2 linked regions of the Drosophila melanogaster genome follow. Changing the gene in region 2 together with the main gene of any one other region gives a genetic interaction. Each region holds a gene or a part of one and is shown on either strand. Other genes may lie near its edges.

Region 1 (10,087 bases), 3.2 Mb from region 2:
TAAATATGATCCGCATGGGTCATCAAAATGTGATATGCCATATCACTACCCCAAAATTAAATTAAAAAAATAAATTGTCATGACAAAACTCACCTTGCTTCCAAGGATTGGCCGGCTCCAGGTAGCCGGTGACCAGCTGGTTATCCGGAAACGAGACGCGTCGCGCAATGGACGAGGTGAGCGAGCTGTCCGATGATTTTCGCTGCAGGAGGCTGGGCGCCGTCGACAGGATGATGCCCCTGGGGGGCAGGCCCAGGGCTCCAGTGACTCCTCCGCCAGCGACAGTGCCACCGACACCACCTGCAACACCTCCTGATCCCGAACTGACGAAATCCGGGCAGATGGTCGAGCTGGGATTGGAGGCCAGCGAATCGGTGCGCCACACGGCCGTCTGCTTGGCATCGTGGTATATCTTGATCTTGTGTCGTTGCTGCGTTCGCATCTGAGCATCGAATGCGGTCGCTTCAGTAGCTGCAGCCGCAGCAGCAGTCGCATCAACGATCGGCGCAGCAGTCGCATCAGCTGTTTGTGCTAATTTCGTTCGCTCTGCCACAGCTGCTGTTGTTGTTGTTGCTGGTGTTTGACCCTCAGCTGTTGCACTTGTTTCCCCTACGCCAGCTGATGTCTTTGCTGCAGCAGCAGATGTTGTTGCAAGGTGCGTGGCAATTGTTGGCTCCGTTCCATTGCCTTCTGTTGTTGCTGCTGCTGCAGTTGTTGTTGTGATTGGGGTAGCTGTTGCTGCTGTTGTTGTTGTGTTTGGCTCTGCAATGTCGCGATTGTTGTGCAGCATTGTTGCAAAGCGTTTTCAGTTGCCGCTGTCGTTTTCAAGTTTGTCGCTTTTCAAGTTTGCAGAATATCTCGAACTCGTAGTTATTTTTCTTTTTTTTTTTGTTTTGGTTTTGTTTTGTTATGTTTTACATTTAAATACACTTTATTTACACACACCAACACGATTTGGTATCGTATTTTATTCGTATTTTTTTGTTACTTTTGTTGTTTGTGCTTCAAACGTGCGCTTCCCGTTTACATTTTCGAATGCTTTAATGTATTATTCTTTTTTATTTCAACACTACAAATTGAATATCAAAAGCAAATTAATTTCAAAGCGATTTGTATGCCGCTCGCCTACAAAGTAATGTTCGAATTTGTCAAACGCATCGAGTAATCAGCAGGGGCCAGTTTTACAAAACACAAAAAATTTTCCGCTCAAAAATTTCCGCCGTTTCGAACGCACAGTGGGCCCAGCCACAGTTGGTCCAAAACTGTACATCATTCTGTAATGTAATGAATGTAACTGCTTCACTTTTCTCACTTCTCACTTTTTTTATTTGATTTACAGTTAAGCCGTGTTTATTTTAACACAGTGTTATTTATTATCTGTAATATCAGTCTTTAACCCTTCCGACTAATTTCTTTTCACCCCACTGTGCAATGTTAACAAAAGAAAATGGAATATTAAGAAAAGAGACAAAAAGCGCAGAGCAAACGCACACTATCAAACACGAAGCAAGAGAGCAAAAGAGAATGGTATAAAAAACATTACCTAATTGTTATTGTTTTTGTTTGCGTTTGCATTGCCAGAGAAGCAAAAGAGAGAGCCAGAGGGAGAGGGAAAATCGAGAAAAGCCAGTCGCAGATTGTTTGCGATTGTTGTTTGTTATCGCTTTTCCCCTCTGCACTTTTCGCATTTTTGTTTACGTGCCTCTGCAAGTGTGGGTGTGTGTGCGGCTGTACTGCGTGCAAGTGTGAGTGTGTATTTTTGTGGGAATAACACGCGCCCTGTTGCATGCAAAACTCAAATTAAAAGGCAAATTGCAATTGGTAATTACACAGGCAGTCGAAAGGGACAAACAATTGCACGCTCTTACTGCTCACTTTTCCTCGAATTTTGTTTTAGAATAAATACACAAATTACGTCACGCATGTCGGAGGACTACTGAGTTGTTAATGTTTTTTGCGAAGTTTTTCTTTGATTTCCGTGTTTCTTTTGCTCTCCACTTTTATCAGTTTCGGTCAAGATATTTGTATTTGATTTTACGCACCAAGGCTTGGCGCACTTTGTTTCCACGCACCCAAATCTCTTCTTTTTTTTGTTATACAACTTTTGGCGAAGGATTACTCTTTGTGCAGCCAATCAGTTTATGTGGCGTTTTATAGGGCATTTAACAGAACCGCGCTCCATTCAGCATAGCGTGCAGCTATCGACCATTAGGCATCCGCGACCCAACAACAACCGATCACAAAGACGTTGAAAATGCGAAAGATAGAAATAGAAACTGAGTTGCGCATTTTCATGCTGTGTCCAACGGGCGGTGTTGCCAGACTGCCCGCACGCAGGTTTGTGATAAAGGACTGTTTATGCTAAGTTAGAATTCTTGAATTTCATGAAATTACGAATTACGATCGAAATACGTTAACACCAATAATTTCAAAACAAGCATATTCTGAAGCAAGACCGTTTTTCCAATAACTGGACATTGATTATTATAATTAATAAAAGTGATTGAATTAAAACTGAGCTAAAAATAATAGCCCTATTATAGTTTTAGTTCTTTAAAAATTTTTTGAATTGGCGACGTGTAAGCCATTTTAAACTCTGCCGACGATCTGGCAACCCCTCCACGTGTGCTCTTTTCACGCACCCTCTCGCTCACACTCCCTTAAATCGCAAGCAACATACAACATCAAAACAATAAGTTTCTGTACACATGCTCCCGGATTTTCACTTAAATTAGCATCTTAATTATAAACTGCACAAGTTATTGGTTTTAAGGCTACATTATCGGGCATATCACACAAAGTTATCCGCTGCTCTCTTAATCGCTCTCTGAATTCCACAATATGATGTCAGAGGAAACCTTTTTCCGTACACTTCGTAAGGTAATAATAAATTGGAATCCAATACGCCAGCTTTCACTGAGTACTTTGTTGGACACCGGCGACTTTTTTCTAAAAAGCTAGCCCAAATTTTGCGCGTTACATTTTCGGGTGAAGTGCATAAAGGAAAAAAAAAACAAACTTCAATTTTCAAGGTCACTGCTGAAGTTTTCCAGCCACACACACGCACATAGTCCTGTCGTTTGCCACCCACTGCAGCACTCAGAGCGTTCCGAAACCGAGCATTAGGATTATTCAAAGTGAAGAGGCTTACTTCGCACTCAAATTTAGTTACTGGGTTTACAAAATTTCCTCCGATGGAGCCGCGAAACTGGCGAAACAATTTACGAGCTCTGGCCAGTGTTACCAACTGCTCCAAGTTCTCTATATCTGAGTTATTTCGCACAACGCTATCTGGCGCGCATAGTATATGGCATTCGCACTGAGTCGAAAAAGATAGCAGATACTGTGAACTAGAATTCAGATAACTTAAACAGAATGTATTTAAAACATATAAATTTCAAAGGCCATTAAATACAGCAATAAGATTTGATAATAAATCATATCTGTGGAATAGTTGAAACAGACCCGAAATGCCCCTTTCCTATTTCGGTATTTTTCTGAGGCCACACAGCATTCCTTGGCGCACCCAGTACGGTCACACGAATGAAAAGCCAACTCAGCTGAAAGTGAACCCATTTTTATACACAAAAAATTAGTAGCTGCAGCGAAATAAGTTGATTTCACACGACCACTGCGCCCCGAAAACAATGCAAAATGCGGCTGACCAACGAGAAAGCAACAATGCAGCCCCAGCTGAGTGATTTGGCCCTGGTCCTGGGCCTGTTGATCTGCTGTCTTCCAACTTTGACGTGGGCTGCGACTCTCTCCGACAAGCGACTGTGCGCCGACCCGAAATGTGAACGTAAGTTGTAATCTATGGCCAGACAAGTCAGCCTTGGACCTCCGGCACAGCCATGTCTCTTAAAATTGCATAATTAATTTTGCGTTTGTCTGGTTTATGCTTGCAGAAATCATTTCGATGGGCATTGCCAAAATCACCTACGCCATTGGTGGTGAGGGGCTGATATCCTTCAAAATCAACTCCCCCATCCGCGTCCTGTCCAAGAGCGCCGGTTCCAATATGCAACTGTGGGGTGTGGACATCAATGGGCGGCGCGGCTATGCCAATAAGGACTTTATCATGGAAAAGAAGATCCTCGTCCGGGATAAGGATCTATTGTACGAGGTGCCAGTGGTGGGACCTGGTAGTCCAGTGCAGTCAGTGGAGACACCAGTTCAGAGCGTCGAGACGACAGTGCAGCCTGTTCTTAACGCCTCTGAGTCAACCGATGATCTGGCAACGACTACAACGTCACCACTTGAGATAGCCGTTGATTCAATAGTGGTTGAGCACGACAAGCTGCAGGATCAGCAGGTTCCTGATCCTACTGCGGCTTCCAAGGCCCAAGTGCAGGTTATAGAAGGAACTGAGCTTCCCCTGGAGGCCATTGCAGCTACAACGGAAGGTAGCATTGTTCCAGAGACGGCAGCAGACCCCCAAGAAGCAACAAATCTCGACTCGACAGTTGTTGATACGAAAGAGCCACAGGCATTAAATTCGGAGGCCATTAAATTGCAGGAAGAGCCAAAAGCACAGCAACCTGCCACAGAAGCTGAGAAACCTCCCCCACTGCCCCAGGCTATCAACGCTGAACTGGAAGACGCTGACGATTTCGATTACGGGGATGACGAGACAGATGACGACTCCCAACAAGGTAGTCAAGATAACGAATCGATCGTAGAGATAGCAAACGATAACAAATCAATTAACGAATCGATTGAACTGAAACCACTTTCGGTCGCGCAACTGAAGAAAACAGATAAAGTGGAGGATTCAAAGGATGAGACTAAAGAAAAGCATGCAGAAATGGAAGTCTCCAAGCAGGAAGATTCTTCCTTACCCACTGAGACCTTAAATGTGACGGCACTCGAAGAGCAAATTGATCAGAAGGAATTTCCGAAGCAGGTACTGGATGCAGCCGTGGAATTAAAGTCGTCAGATCCTCTGCCAGTTGAGGAGGTCACCGAAACTGTGGCTGAGCCACCACGAACGATTGTCGAAGATAAAATTAATGAAGAAATAGTTCCGGTTTCAGCTAAAATCCAAGCAAAGCCTGCAACAGTTAACCCTACCGAACCTATTGTTGCTCAATCTGATGCGGAAATAAAAGCGCCATCTGAGTCAGTAATCAGTTCAACCACTCCCGCTCCTGTCGTTGAAGAGGCACCACAGAAAGCAGATCCTGTTGGTCTGCCGCCCCTCTTTGAAAAGAAGAACTTTGAGAATCCCAATAATTATTACAAGCAATTGCAGGAGGAACAGGAAAAACAGAGACTAGTTGCAGAGGCGGAGGAGCAAAAGCGTTTACAAGAGGAAGCGGATCAGCAGAAGAGGTTGCAAGAGGAAGCTGCGCTGAATAAAAGGTTACTCGAAGAAGCCGAGCAACAGAAAAGGTTACAAGAGGAAGCGGAGCAGCAGAAGAGATTGCAAGAGGAAGCTGAGCTGAATAAAAGGTTACTCGAAGAAGCCGAGAAACAGAAAAGGTTACACGAAGAATCAGAGCAGCTGCAGCGCTCAAGTGAGGAAGCGGAGCCACAACTGAGCGTTCAGGAAGCCAACATGCAGCAGCTTAATGACTCTGTGGATTCGCAGTCCAACGAAATCGTTGATAACAACAATAGGCAGCAGCCAGAGCAATATCAGCAGCACCATCATCATACAGAAAGTGCCTTTAATCATCCATCGACTGCATCACATACAACTCCAACGCCTGACGCCGAATCACCGTACGCAGCAGTCCAGGAGGAGACCACAGAAGCATCCCAAACGGATAACCATCGTGAGGGAGTTGGTTACGTGGAGCCTGTAGCTCTGCCAGCGACGGCTAGCCCCGTGTCGGAAGTACCTATCAAGGAGGACGCCGCAGGCTTTGGTCTCTTTGCCACAATTGTCGACACCGTAAACAATTTTATCGGAAAGGATCCTCAGAGTGATCCAGCAGATAGCAGCGATGAATTGCATAGAATCCTCTATCCAGGAAGGCCTGAAGTGCCACCTTCTCAAAGGAAGGCGGAAGGTGATGCTTATTCATTTACTAAATCATTATTACCATACGATTCTTCAGAAATTAGAGAGAATATCCGGTCCGGTTTTGTTACATACTATACCTTTTTTTTTACATATTCCAGACTTTGCTCCTGCCGATGTGGATGGATATTGTGCCCGGTTTCAAGCCAAAGATGAGCACTGTCATCGCTCTATATCTCTTGATAATTTTGTTGAAGTAATGGCCGACAAGCTGGTTGACCACAGCCAACTTTTACTTTGCGTGGTTATCGCCGCGATTTCTTCCTTGTTCTTCATGTTTGCATACTACTGCTTCTGCAATAGTAGTCAGGAGGGAGCGCTTCTTTCGAAGCTGAACCATTTGGAGCGCAGTCTGTTGGCCTCCCACAAGGAGAACCTGATCATCAAACACGACCTGATGACTACGCGAACAAAGTTGGCCAGCATTGAGGACAATTCCTTCGGCTCAAACGACATGGTGGCCGATCTCAAGAAGCAACTTGAATCTGAGCTGTACGAGAAGGCTAAGCTGCAGGAACAGGTTGGCTCATTAGAAAGGGTAGGTCCATATTATTTAATCAAATAAACGCTTACAAGGATCTCTTTACAAGGATCTGGATAACGCGGCTGAGGCTGGCCTGGAGCTCAACAAGATGCTGTCCGAAGTCCTTAACGGTCAGAATGGCGATGAGGCTTTCATGAGCACCGTCGACGAACTGCAGCGACAGCTTAATGACCAAGAAAGTGAGGAACCGCCGTTGATTAATACTTATACTAATGTGACTTTTTGATGACTACTTATTTAACCATTTAGTATCCAAAGCAGTTTCCTGTTCAATGCAGATTCTAACTCCATAACTTTTGCAGAGATCATCATCGAAATCAACAACAGTCTGGCCGAGAAAAGTAGGGAGAACAGCGAACTGCAGTATACGTTTACGGAGGCCACGACTCGGCTCAACAGCGAGCTGAAGACGCTACAAGAGGACAACTACGAGTTGGAGATGGAGAAGTCTAAGCTGCAAACTCGTCTTCAGGAAATTCAGGCTGAAACGGAATCGGAATTGGCCAAGGCACTGGAAGCCAGAAATTACGAAATGCAAAAGCTGCAGAATCAGATTGTTGAGCTGACTGTCAAGTGGGAGCGCGAACATGGCGATCTGCAGACCAGTCTAGCAAAGATCGAAGCTCTCGAAGATTGCCTGAAGGCAGTCGGAAAGGATGCGATCCACAATGTCCAAGAGCTGATTACCTCGGCCAAGACACGCGGTGAACTCAACGCGGTCCATAAGAAGCTGGTCGAGTTGCAGTCGAAGGTGGAGCAAGAAGAGGCCCACAAGCAACGTCTGGAGAGTCAGCTGCAGCAGTCAAGTCAAGATGTGGAGCAGCTGAAGCAGGACTTCAACCAATCAGAGCGCGATAAGCTAGAAGCCCAGACGCGTCTTGAAGTCTTATCCGGCTACTTCAGGGAGAAGGAGAACGATCTTAAGAAGTAGTTTATCAAGAAACACATTTGAGGAAAGTCTTTATCTCTTAATTACCATTTCAGAGAACTTAGTCTGCAGGAGACCAAGTGGCTGCAGCACCAGGGAGAGAATGCCAGCACAGTTGAGACCCAGACGCTGATGAAGAACGAAATCCAAACTCTGAAGTAAGTCAAAATCGCGCATTATCGCTTTCAAGAAATGTTAAAATCCATTTCGCCTTAGATCTCAGAATGACGAGCTGCGTGCCGAGATCGAGGCCCAGATAGCCTCGCACAAAGCTCAGATGGGCACGCTGGAGAACCGAGCTCATGAGTCCTGGCTGGCAGCGCGCCAGTCGGAGCGCCGTTGCGAAGAAGCGTTGGCCGAAGCTGCCAGCCTGAGGCGTAAGCTGACCACAATGGCCAGCGGCGGAGGAGGAGTAGGCGGAGATCCAGGCGTAATGGAGGCCATCGCCGCCAACGGAACTTCCGTGCTGGGGGCGGAACTGAAAACGGCTCCATCGCCGCTTCCCTTGCCGGGTTCACCACTGCTGAACATGCCAAATCCACTGCCATTCCTGGCGGCACCCTTCTCACCGTTCATGGGTCTGCCGCCGCCATTCCTGCCTCCAACTGGAGCGGGAGGGGCACGTCCTCCGCCCCTGGGACGCATGCGCTCTCCGCCGCCCTCGAGTCGCGGCGATCGGGATCGAGAGCGTTACTCAGACTACAGCGACTACGATGACTACGACGACGATGAGGAGGACGACCGGGGCATGGACCGTCGTCGACGGCACAGCGGCAGCTGGGGTCGCCGGCATCGCGGCTCCTACAGCCACTCGCCGCGCACATATCGCTCGCTATCACCGTCGGACAGTCGGTACAACTACAATGACACGGAGACTGACTTCAGTCCGCCCCCAAGTCCGCCGCCCGTTCCGTCGGGACGCAGCGCGACATCGCGACCCTACAGCGAGGTATGAGGAGCAGGGTGTGCCCGTGCAACCAAGTCCTACCAAGTATATTAGACTCAAAACTAGTTCAAATATATTTATTAATCAACGATTATCGAACGGTGGGATCGGGGCGGGTCGGGACGACCTCTCAAACCGATTCCCCAAAACAGGGATCTCAGGAGAGTTCGTGAACAACTAAGAAAACTCCTGTCTCAGCGGTGAATGATATCCAAGAAAATTGAAACAAATTAAACGCAATGACAAACACAAATCCAATGTGAGCTGTTTTTACTGTGGAATTGAAAAATATTCATTTTCTCTGAACAAACATTTTTAAATAATCAGCATGGCACATTTTTAATATGATATTAATTTCTGAGAGGTAAGATTATGTATTATACATCATTTATTGAAAACTACAAATAATTGAATACACGAACTTAGAACCGGTTTATATTTTTATATTATATTTATATATTATTATCAGCAATCATTTTAATAACCAGCTTATCGACGAAAGACTTATCAATTAAATAGCACAATTTTGGTCCGTTTAGATAATAGTTAACTAAGCTAGTTAACTTAGTGAATCACGACTCGGGGCGTTTAAATTCCAATTCAATACATTCGTCAGGTAATTGTGAATAGCTGCTACTAGTAGCACTGAAGGAAACATTAAGTTTGGGATGTTTAAAGTGCTTCGAAACCTGCGAAAGAGTATGAGTTTTAGGATCAGTACTTTATAAATCAGTTATGTACGCACCAAGTCATCCTTGCCGGTTTTATAAAAATGCATTTTCAAAGGCTTCGTTCGCTGATTTAGAGCGCGGTTCATTGTTGACTTGCTGAAGGCAAAGAACTCGTCGTACAAAACATGGTTGATCATGCTGAATTCCCTGAGACGGGGACAGGCAAGAAGCACGTCCCATATACCATCGGCGTTGACCCATATACGCGAGTTCTCCAGATGCAGTTGCTCCAAGAGCGGAAAGCAATAGGTGATCGTGGAAAAGTCAATGGCAGCACATCCTTCATCATCGACGAGAGTTAAACATCGGAGATTTCGCAGTTTGGCCAGCACCTCCGTTGGCCTCATCCAGATATTATTACTGAATGCGGCAGTCAACACATCTTGACCCCTTATGCTTCCAATTTCGCACAGTAGATCGTCCACCTGGTAGAAGTTGTGCAGGCGCAGCTTTATCAGTTTAGGCAGGCTCAACAGTTGGCTGATGTTGTCCCTGTTTAGGTAAACTATGTCCAGCTCCAGCTCCTCCAGTTCATGCAGCATACAGATGGATCGCACGTATGCATTCTGTTCGATCTTTTGCCACTGGATACTGAGTGTCTGTAGTCGCAGGTTTTGACAGATATCCTCGAAGCCCTGCGGGCTCAGGTACCAGCACAGCTGAAGGTCCAGTCGGCGAATGTTCCGCCAACGACTGATGTGGTTACCAGTAGTCTTCCCGCTCAGCCTGATGGCTTCCAGCTGCGGGAAGCAGTCCACCAGAATGGCGATGTCGGCGTCTCCTTCTATTTCACTGGTCTCATCGCCCAAGTAGATCAATTGACGCATGTTGGGGAAGGTGTGACCCTTCCACCGCTCCAGGTGATCCATGGCTAGGTATTGGAGTGTAAGTTCCGTCACCGTGAAGCGAA
Region 2 (7,275 bases):
CCGCAGGAAGAACATCAAAGTCCCCGGCGGTGCATTCGATAGATAGAGGGTGCACTTCTCCGCCTTGAAGTTGAAGGTGGCCTTGCCCTCGGACATGAACTTCTTGTGCACCATCAGATCCTTCAGCTTGAACTTCAGGGGCTTTAGTTTCTCCGGCGTCACCTCAACAAACAATTCACGCAAATCGTTCCGCACCAGGCGCAATGTGGCAGTCTTGTAGGCCAGTTTGCGACCCGTGATGCCCACCGCATTGGTCCACTCCATGTTCACCGCACAGGTGAGCACTGCGTCATTGAGATCCATGGCGAAATTAACTTCACTTCAGTCAGTTTCCGATTAAATTAAATTAAATACAAAAGCCAAATCTTTTCCATGCGCTTGGTCGCCGATCGGCTTATCGATATCAGCGTAAAATTATCGATATCACATCGGATGGCGTGAACGCATCATGATCGTGCACAAGTATGTTATAAAGTAGCAAAGTTCCACTCCAGGATCAGCTGTGTTACAATTCCGTTACAATTTAAATTGCTACATTTAAGGATTACAAAACAAGTAGGCCAGGAAAAGTAATTTGCTATGCCTATAACTTTCAATTGCACACTAATTAAGAAATATCACCATGAATGTGGATCTGAGATTGATTGTGCGCCTGTTGCTGGCCATTCTATTGACTTCCTTGGTAACTACCATTTTAATGGGCAAGCAGATACACAGAAGACTCGTGAAGTCCATGGTCAAAACAACCGGCGAAAAGGATAGTTTGCCAGCAAGGCAGCTCCCAAAAAGGGAGATCAGCCCGAAGGTCGCAGATTTCCCACCACCACTAACACTGAACCAAACTGAACTGGACATCTTAAAGATCCAGCGAAACAATAGTTTCCGCCTGCCCCAGCAAGAAGCTATTAAGGAGTGGCAGGATGCGATTTTCTTTAAAGAGGATAGTAACCGCAGGGGATTGGGTGAGCAGGGAAGAGCAGTTCAGTTACCAAACGCTAAATTAAACCCCGATGATTTCCAAGACTTCTATGCCGAACTCTCCGATCGCATTCCCCTGAACAGATCCTTGCCGGATACCAGACCTATAAGGTTAGTTCCTATGAAGTTTAAAATACTATACAATTTAAAGACTAAGAACTTAGTTGCCGGAAACGGAAGTATCTGGAGAACCTACCCAATGTGACAGTGATAATAGCCTTTCACGATGAACACCTAAGCGTTTTGCTAAGATCTATAACGAGCATTATAAATCGATCTCCTGTTGAGTTACTCAAGCAGATTGTGCTCGTGGATGACGATAGTAATTTGCCGGAATTGGGACAACAACTGGAAGAGATTGTGGCTCAAAACTTTCCGAAAATTATTCACATACTAAGACTTCCAGAACGACGTGGTTCCATCAAAGCGAGAATGGAGGCAATCAGGGTGTCCAGCTGTCAAGTTTTGGTCTTTCTAGACTCCCACATCGAAGTCAACACCAATTGGGTAATATTTAAAAAGGAATCAATTAATGTGGATAAATCTAGATAATTTCCTACTTTATAGTTGCCTCCCTTGCTGGAACCTATAGTTATTAACCCACATATAGTCACCCGTCCCATTTTGGATGCCATCTCACGCAAGACATTTGCCTATGCCAAACAAAATACGATGACTCGCTCCGGTTTCAATTGGTGGCTTGAGTCTGAGAGCTTACCAATTTTTCCTGAGGATAAAAGTCCTGATTCCACACCCTACCGTACACCGGTTTTATCAGGAGCTATGGCGATTGACAGGAACTATTTCTTGAATCTGGGGGGATTTGATGAGCAGCTGGACACCTGGGAAGCCGAGAAGTTCGAGATAAGTTTTAAGGTCTGGATGTGTGGTGGAATGATGCTGTATGTACCTTGCGCCCGGGTGGGTCACATAGGTAAAAGACCCATGAAATCGATTAGTAGTCCAGGATACCACAATTTTCTGGCCAGGGTAAGTGGAAAAACAACTCAAAACATGGGGGGTGGCGTATACGTAATATATTGTTTAACCTATTAAGAATATTACAACATAATTTAATAAGAGGATCTCTCCCTAGAACTACAAGCGAGTAGCTGAAGTTTGGATGGATAATTACAAAAAGTATGTGTACGACAAGAATCCGAAGCTCTATAAGATGGCCAATGCTGGTCTGCTTTTCCAAAGGAAAACCAAGAGAAATGCTCTGGAGTGCAAGACCTTCGATTGGTACATGACCAAGGTGGCTCCGGATTTTCTTAAAAGGTACCTAGCATTGGATTCGCCTTTGGTTTTCTCCGGGGTCATTGAAAGTGTGGCATTTCCTGGATTCTGTGTGGACTCCCTGAATTGTAGACACACTAAGCCCGTGGTTTTAGCCCGGTGCACTGGGCATAATTCAATGCCCGGCGAGCATCAGAACTGGTCCTTAACGCAGGATCATGAGATTCAACTGACGAACAGCAAAGATGATTGCTTGGAAGCGCAGGGCCTACGCTCAAAGTCGGTGTGGCTCTTTCGTTGTCACAAAAATGGTGGGAATCAGTACTGGTACTACAATCACCGTCATCGGTGGATCCAACAGGGCCAAATATGGGTGTGGTGCCTGGAAGCCCAATTGGCTAGTGGTCATAAGGTTGGCAAGGTTCTGGCCAATAAAATCTGCGATAAAAACCAACTGGAACAGCAGTGGAAAGTTGGGCGAAATGCGCCATATGATCCACAAAGGGAGCCTCATTAATATGTATAGCACAGCAATTATTAAAATAAATATTTAAATACAATTTTAGATACGAATTTTGCCTTATATGAAAGTATGCCTTCAGATACAGATGGCGCTCACGCCAATCCCCAGCCCAGTTCAAAGAGTGCCTGTGCAGATGGCGCCACCATGACGCGCGCTCCGCTAATTTGAATTCGCATGCAGAGATATTTCGTATATTATTGTTCTTTTCGCCCGACTTTTTCTCAGGTGAGTGTGGGATCTGGGCCTGACCTTACACGTCACCGGGCAGCCGACTCGTCTGCCACTGATTGATAGTGGAGAAGCGTGTTTTTTGTGGCCAACTGAAAATGTGAAAACTTCTTCGCCGCCTTATCACTGAGTCGCGGTTTCCCAATTACACTAATGGCTGTGCTTTTTGCCAGGTGGCTGCTCCTCTGCTGCATCGGCATGCCAGCAGTCAGTATTTTGGACTTCCGCCGCCAAGACGTCCACATGGCCATAAAAAAGAGATATGTAAAGCGCCTGTTGCGCAAGGTGGTCCTCCTCTTGGTGGTCATCGTCACTGTGTCCTTGGTCACCACTTTGGTGGTCGAACGGCGAATGAAAAATGCGGCGGAGCTGACGGAACAACTCGATCCGAATGGAGATCCCATAACGCCCGTTTTTAGGGCTGCCAATATACATCCAACTCGGAAAGCGCCACGACCACCATTTCAGGATCGCAACTCCGTGGTAGATATTCCGAGAAGTGACAAACTCCAGGGATTCCGACTACCGGAACCGAAGGGAGAGCGCAAGGATTGGCACGACTATGCGGCCATGGAGGCGGATAGAAAGCGATCCGGTTTCGGTGAGCACGGAGTAGCCGTAAAGATCGAAAATCCCGATGAGAAGCAGTTGGAAAAGGAGCACTACGAGATGAACGGCTTTAATGGCCTCATATCGGATAGAATCTCCGTCAATCGATCTGTGCCAGACCTCAGACTCGAGGCGTAAGTACATTCCCCATAGCGTGTTATCAATAGTTAAAACACTTATCTTATCTTTACAGTTGCAAGACCCGGAAGTATCTGGCCAAGTTGCCCAATATCAGCGTGATTTTCATCTTCTTCAACGAGCACTTTAACACCCTGTTGAGATCGATATACAGTGTGATAAATCGCACTCCACCGGAATTACTTAAGCAAATTGTGCTCGTGGACGATGGCAGCGAGTGGGATGTTCTGAAGCAGCCTTTGGACGACTACGTCCAGCAGCACTTTCCACATCTGGTGACTATAGTGCGCAATCCGGAGAGACAAGGTCTAATTGGAGCCAGAATAGCTGGAGCCAAGGTGGCAGTGGGACAAGTGATGGTGTTCTTTGATTCTCACATAGAAGTCAACTACAATTGGGTAGGATTTTCTAGTAAGCAATATGTTTGGATACAGAAGAATACTCTATGTTGCTATATTTACAGCTGCCTCCCCTGATCGAACCCATTGCCATTAATCCCAAGATCTCCACCTGCCCCATGGTGGATACTATTTCGCATGAAGATTTCTCTTACTTTAGCGGAAATAAGGACGGAGCACGAGGTGGATTCGATTGGAAGATGCTGTACAAACAGCTTCCGGTTCTGCCCGAAGATGCGCTGGACAAGTCCATGCCGTACCGGAGTCCCGTGATGATGGGCGGTCTATTTGCCATCAACACGGACTTCTTTTGGGATCTGGGCGGATACGACGACCAGTTGGACATCTGGGGCGGTGAGCAGTACGAGCTGAGTTTCAAGATCTGGATGTGTGGCGGTATGCTGCTGGATGTTCCCTGCTCGAGGGTGGCACACATATTCCGGGGACCCATGAAGCCAAGGGGCAATCCAAGGGGACACAACTTTGTGGCCAAGGTGGGTGCTACTCTCTAACCAGTTCTACTTTTTTAATTCTAATTATATTTGGTTTTAAATCTCATTTAGAACCACAAGCGCGTGGCAGAGGTTTGGATGGATGAGTATAAGCAATATGTGTACAAACGCGATCCGAAGACCTATGACAACCTGGATGCCGGAGATCTGACCCGCCAGCGTGGAGTTCGAGAGCGACTCAAGTGCAAGAGTTTCCACTGGTTCATGACGGAGGTGGCGCCTGATTTCCTCGTCAAATTCCCGCCCGTGGAACCACCTAGCTACGCCGCCGGCATCATTCAGAACGTGGCCAACCCGGTCTATTGCCTGGACAACATGGGCAAGTCCACCGAGGAGGCGGTGGGTATGTTCAGCTGTGCGGACAATAGGACCCATCCGCAACCGAATCAGTTTTGGGAGCTCTCCATATTCCGAGACCTCCGGATGAAGGGCTTCGATTCAGTGTGCCTGGATGTGCACGAGGGACCGCCGAATGCCACCGTTTGGATGTGGAGCTGCCACAGTCAGGGTGGCAATCAGTTCTGGTACTATGACAGGCAAACCCAAAGGTTGGTTCACGGAGAGAACAACAAGCGCTGCCTGGAGGGATTTGTGGAGAACGGCATAGCCAAGGTGGTGGCCAATTCCTGCGAGAATGGCAACGATCGCCAGCGCTGGGAGTTCGGATTCGTGAACCACACTATGCTGGACACCTTCTACGATGGATTAAAGTAGACTTTCATCCACGAGCCACTAACAATTCGAGTAACCACAGGCCAGATGTCGATCGGTTCAGGTCGGGGACCGCGATCGTCACGGGTTTAGTTCATTGTTCGTTGTGAAGGTTTCTGAAAAAAAAAGTTCGCTAAGTAAATTCCATTTTTCCATTAATTCTTGCCCCATGCATTATTGATATATGGCAGCGGAAAGTGAAAGATCTGGACAGGCAGATCGCAATCGGAGCGAGGATTCTGTCCGATCGCGAGCCACAAACTCTGATCTTTATTTGCTGTACGTACACTATATTTAGGTATTAATGTTTCGAAGAGATCCTCGACTACTTGTAAAGTTAAGAGATCGTAACTATGTGAAATTAAACAATAATAAAAGTTACAAGTGTATTGTAGAATCAATAAATACCTTAAACATTTTCTTTTTATATAATATAGATGTAATCGATGTAGTGAGAGCATCTGTAGTACTTCTTCACTTCCGATTTGAATTTTCGACTGTCGCAAAACCTTATCAGCAGGGCTGTTGACCTTTCTACAAAAGGAGAAAGAGGAGTCGGTAAGAGGTAGCAGACACCAGATAGACTAGAGAAGTTCCCACCCCTCCGAGGTCTGAAGTCCGAGATCACCAAAAAAAAAAAAAAAACCAGACATATTGTTAAGCTGATGTAATTTAAGACGCAGTTGCGCGATTGTCCCAGGAGAGGACGAAGATCGAAGATCCCTGGATGAATGTGGATGGATGGCAGCAGGCAATGACTTAGCGTCAAGCTGTCTCGATCTTGGGCTGGCTTTATCCTTATCTATGCAGTTCATTATCTACCAAACGAAAGCACATGCTAATTTATAGACAACGTGATGTTGTTTTGCTCATTTCCTCCGCATTTTTTTTCTCGTCGCTTTTCATATTTTGTGCATAAACAAAGTCAAGTGATTTGATTTTTTGGCCAACGCGACGGCGACGCCGCTTCTCAATCGGATTCACCGAATGTGGGTCATCGACGTCAGCGGAGATGGGGGTCTTATTTGCTTCGGAAGATTCCCTTTGTTAGGGCAGTTCACTTGTTGATGGGCGTTTGGTAATAGATAACAAAAATGGTCAAGTAGTACTTGTATATCTGCGAGTTTTCTTGGAAACTTACTTACCACTGAATAAAATGTGATTTCCATCTTAAGTAGGATGGGTAGATAATAAGCTATATGATATTCACTCTATAAATAATTTGAATTGGTAAACCACAATACATAGTCCTAAATACCTTTATATTATATTGCAATAATACAGCACATTCATTGATTTGATTACCACGTGTATTTGGCAGAGTATATAAATATCATTGGACTTTTTTGTTTACGTTTCTCATGGTTTTCGCTCTAGCCGAAAAATATAAACAAGTCGATGTCGTCTAGCCCATTCACAACCATCTCAGACTCGTTTGGGAATAGAACCCACCGATGGTAATGACCCACCGTTCGTCCGTATGTTTCACGCAATTCGATGGTGCAATTTCATCAGCCTCCCCGAAAAAGATTTCATCCGAATTTCACTATATATGTACGTATGTATTACCTGTCCCCCGGCGGATGGGAAAAACACCCCTCGGCGCTTAGAGAACCGGCTAGGAATATCTCAAGACGCATTTTAACTTGGCTGCAACGCAGTAGGAAAACTGCCTGCCGTCTCTTTCCTCGCGGCTATAGGCCTGTCTCTCTCTCTTTGCGCAGGTACATCATATTGTATCTGATGAAAACGAAAGCAAAATCCGAACTGGTTTCTTCGAGGGTTGATAAGCCCTAATGGAGGTGGAAAATGCGGAGAAGAGCCGCTCTCTCACCCAAAAAATAAAATATATAAACATATCAGCCGGCACGTAGGGCGGTTTCTATGCTGTGGACTACGTGCTAGATGACACGGCAAAATTGTCCGTGTTTTTCGTGTT

The links. Genes that interact genetically often act in the same process or in processes that back each other up.
Region 1: of Pgant4 (region 2) and Tango1, changing one suppresses a phenotype caused by changing the other (phenotypic suppression), as found in Drosophila melanogaster (one study listed by BioGRID).

What each region holds. Positions count from the first base shown.
Region 1 is NT_033779.5:6,645,879-6,655,965, forward strand, and holds Tango1 (transport and golgi organization 1), read left to right. Parts: upstream 1-3,509; 5' UTR 3,510-3,654; coding exon 3,655-3,802; intron 3,803-3,908; coding exon 3,909-6,017; intron 6,018-6,129; coding exon 6,130-6,566; intron 6,567-6,618; coding exon 6,619-6,751; intron 6,752-6,874; coding exon 6,875-7,499; intron 7,500-7,556; coding exon 7,557-7,658; intron 7,659-7,716; coding exon 7,717-8,455; 3' UTR 8,456-8,696; downstream 8,697-10,087. Other genes in the region: CG31635 (uncharacterized protein), read right to left, coding at 94-790; CG31633 (uncharacterized protein), read right to left, coding at 9,019-9,135, 9,192-10,087. UniProt on the Drosophila melanogaster protein: Required for protein secretion. May participate in cargo loading by binding to COPII coat subunits and guiding SH3-bound proteins into a growing carrier.
Region 2 is NT_033779.5:3,469,592-3,476,866, forward strand, and holds Pgant4 (polypeptide N-Acetylgalactosaminyltransferase 4), read left to right. Parts: upstream 1-3,011; 5' UTR 3,012-3,211; coding exon 3,212-3,711; intron 3,712-3,770; coding exon 3,771-4,113; intron 4,114-4,178; coding exon 4,179-4,607; intron 4,608-4,676; coding exon 4,677-5,339; 3' UTR 5,340-5,747; downstream 5,748-7,275. Other genes in the region: Pif1 DNA helicase, read right to left, coding at 1-303; CG31776 (uncharacterized protein), read left to right, coding at 623-1,089, 1,143-1,485, 1,546-1,968, 2,075-2,734. UniProt on the Drosophila melanogaster protein: Glycopeptide transferase involved in O-linked oligosaccharide biosynthesis, which catalyzes the transfer of an N-acetyl-D-galactosamine residue to an already glycosylated peptide.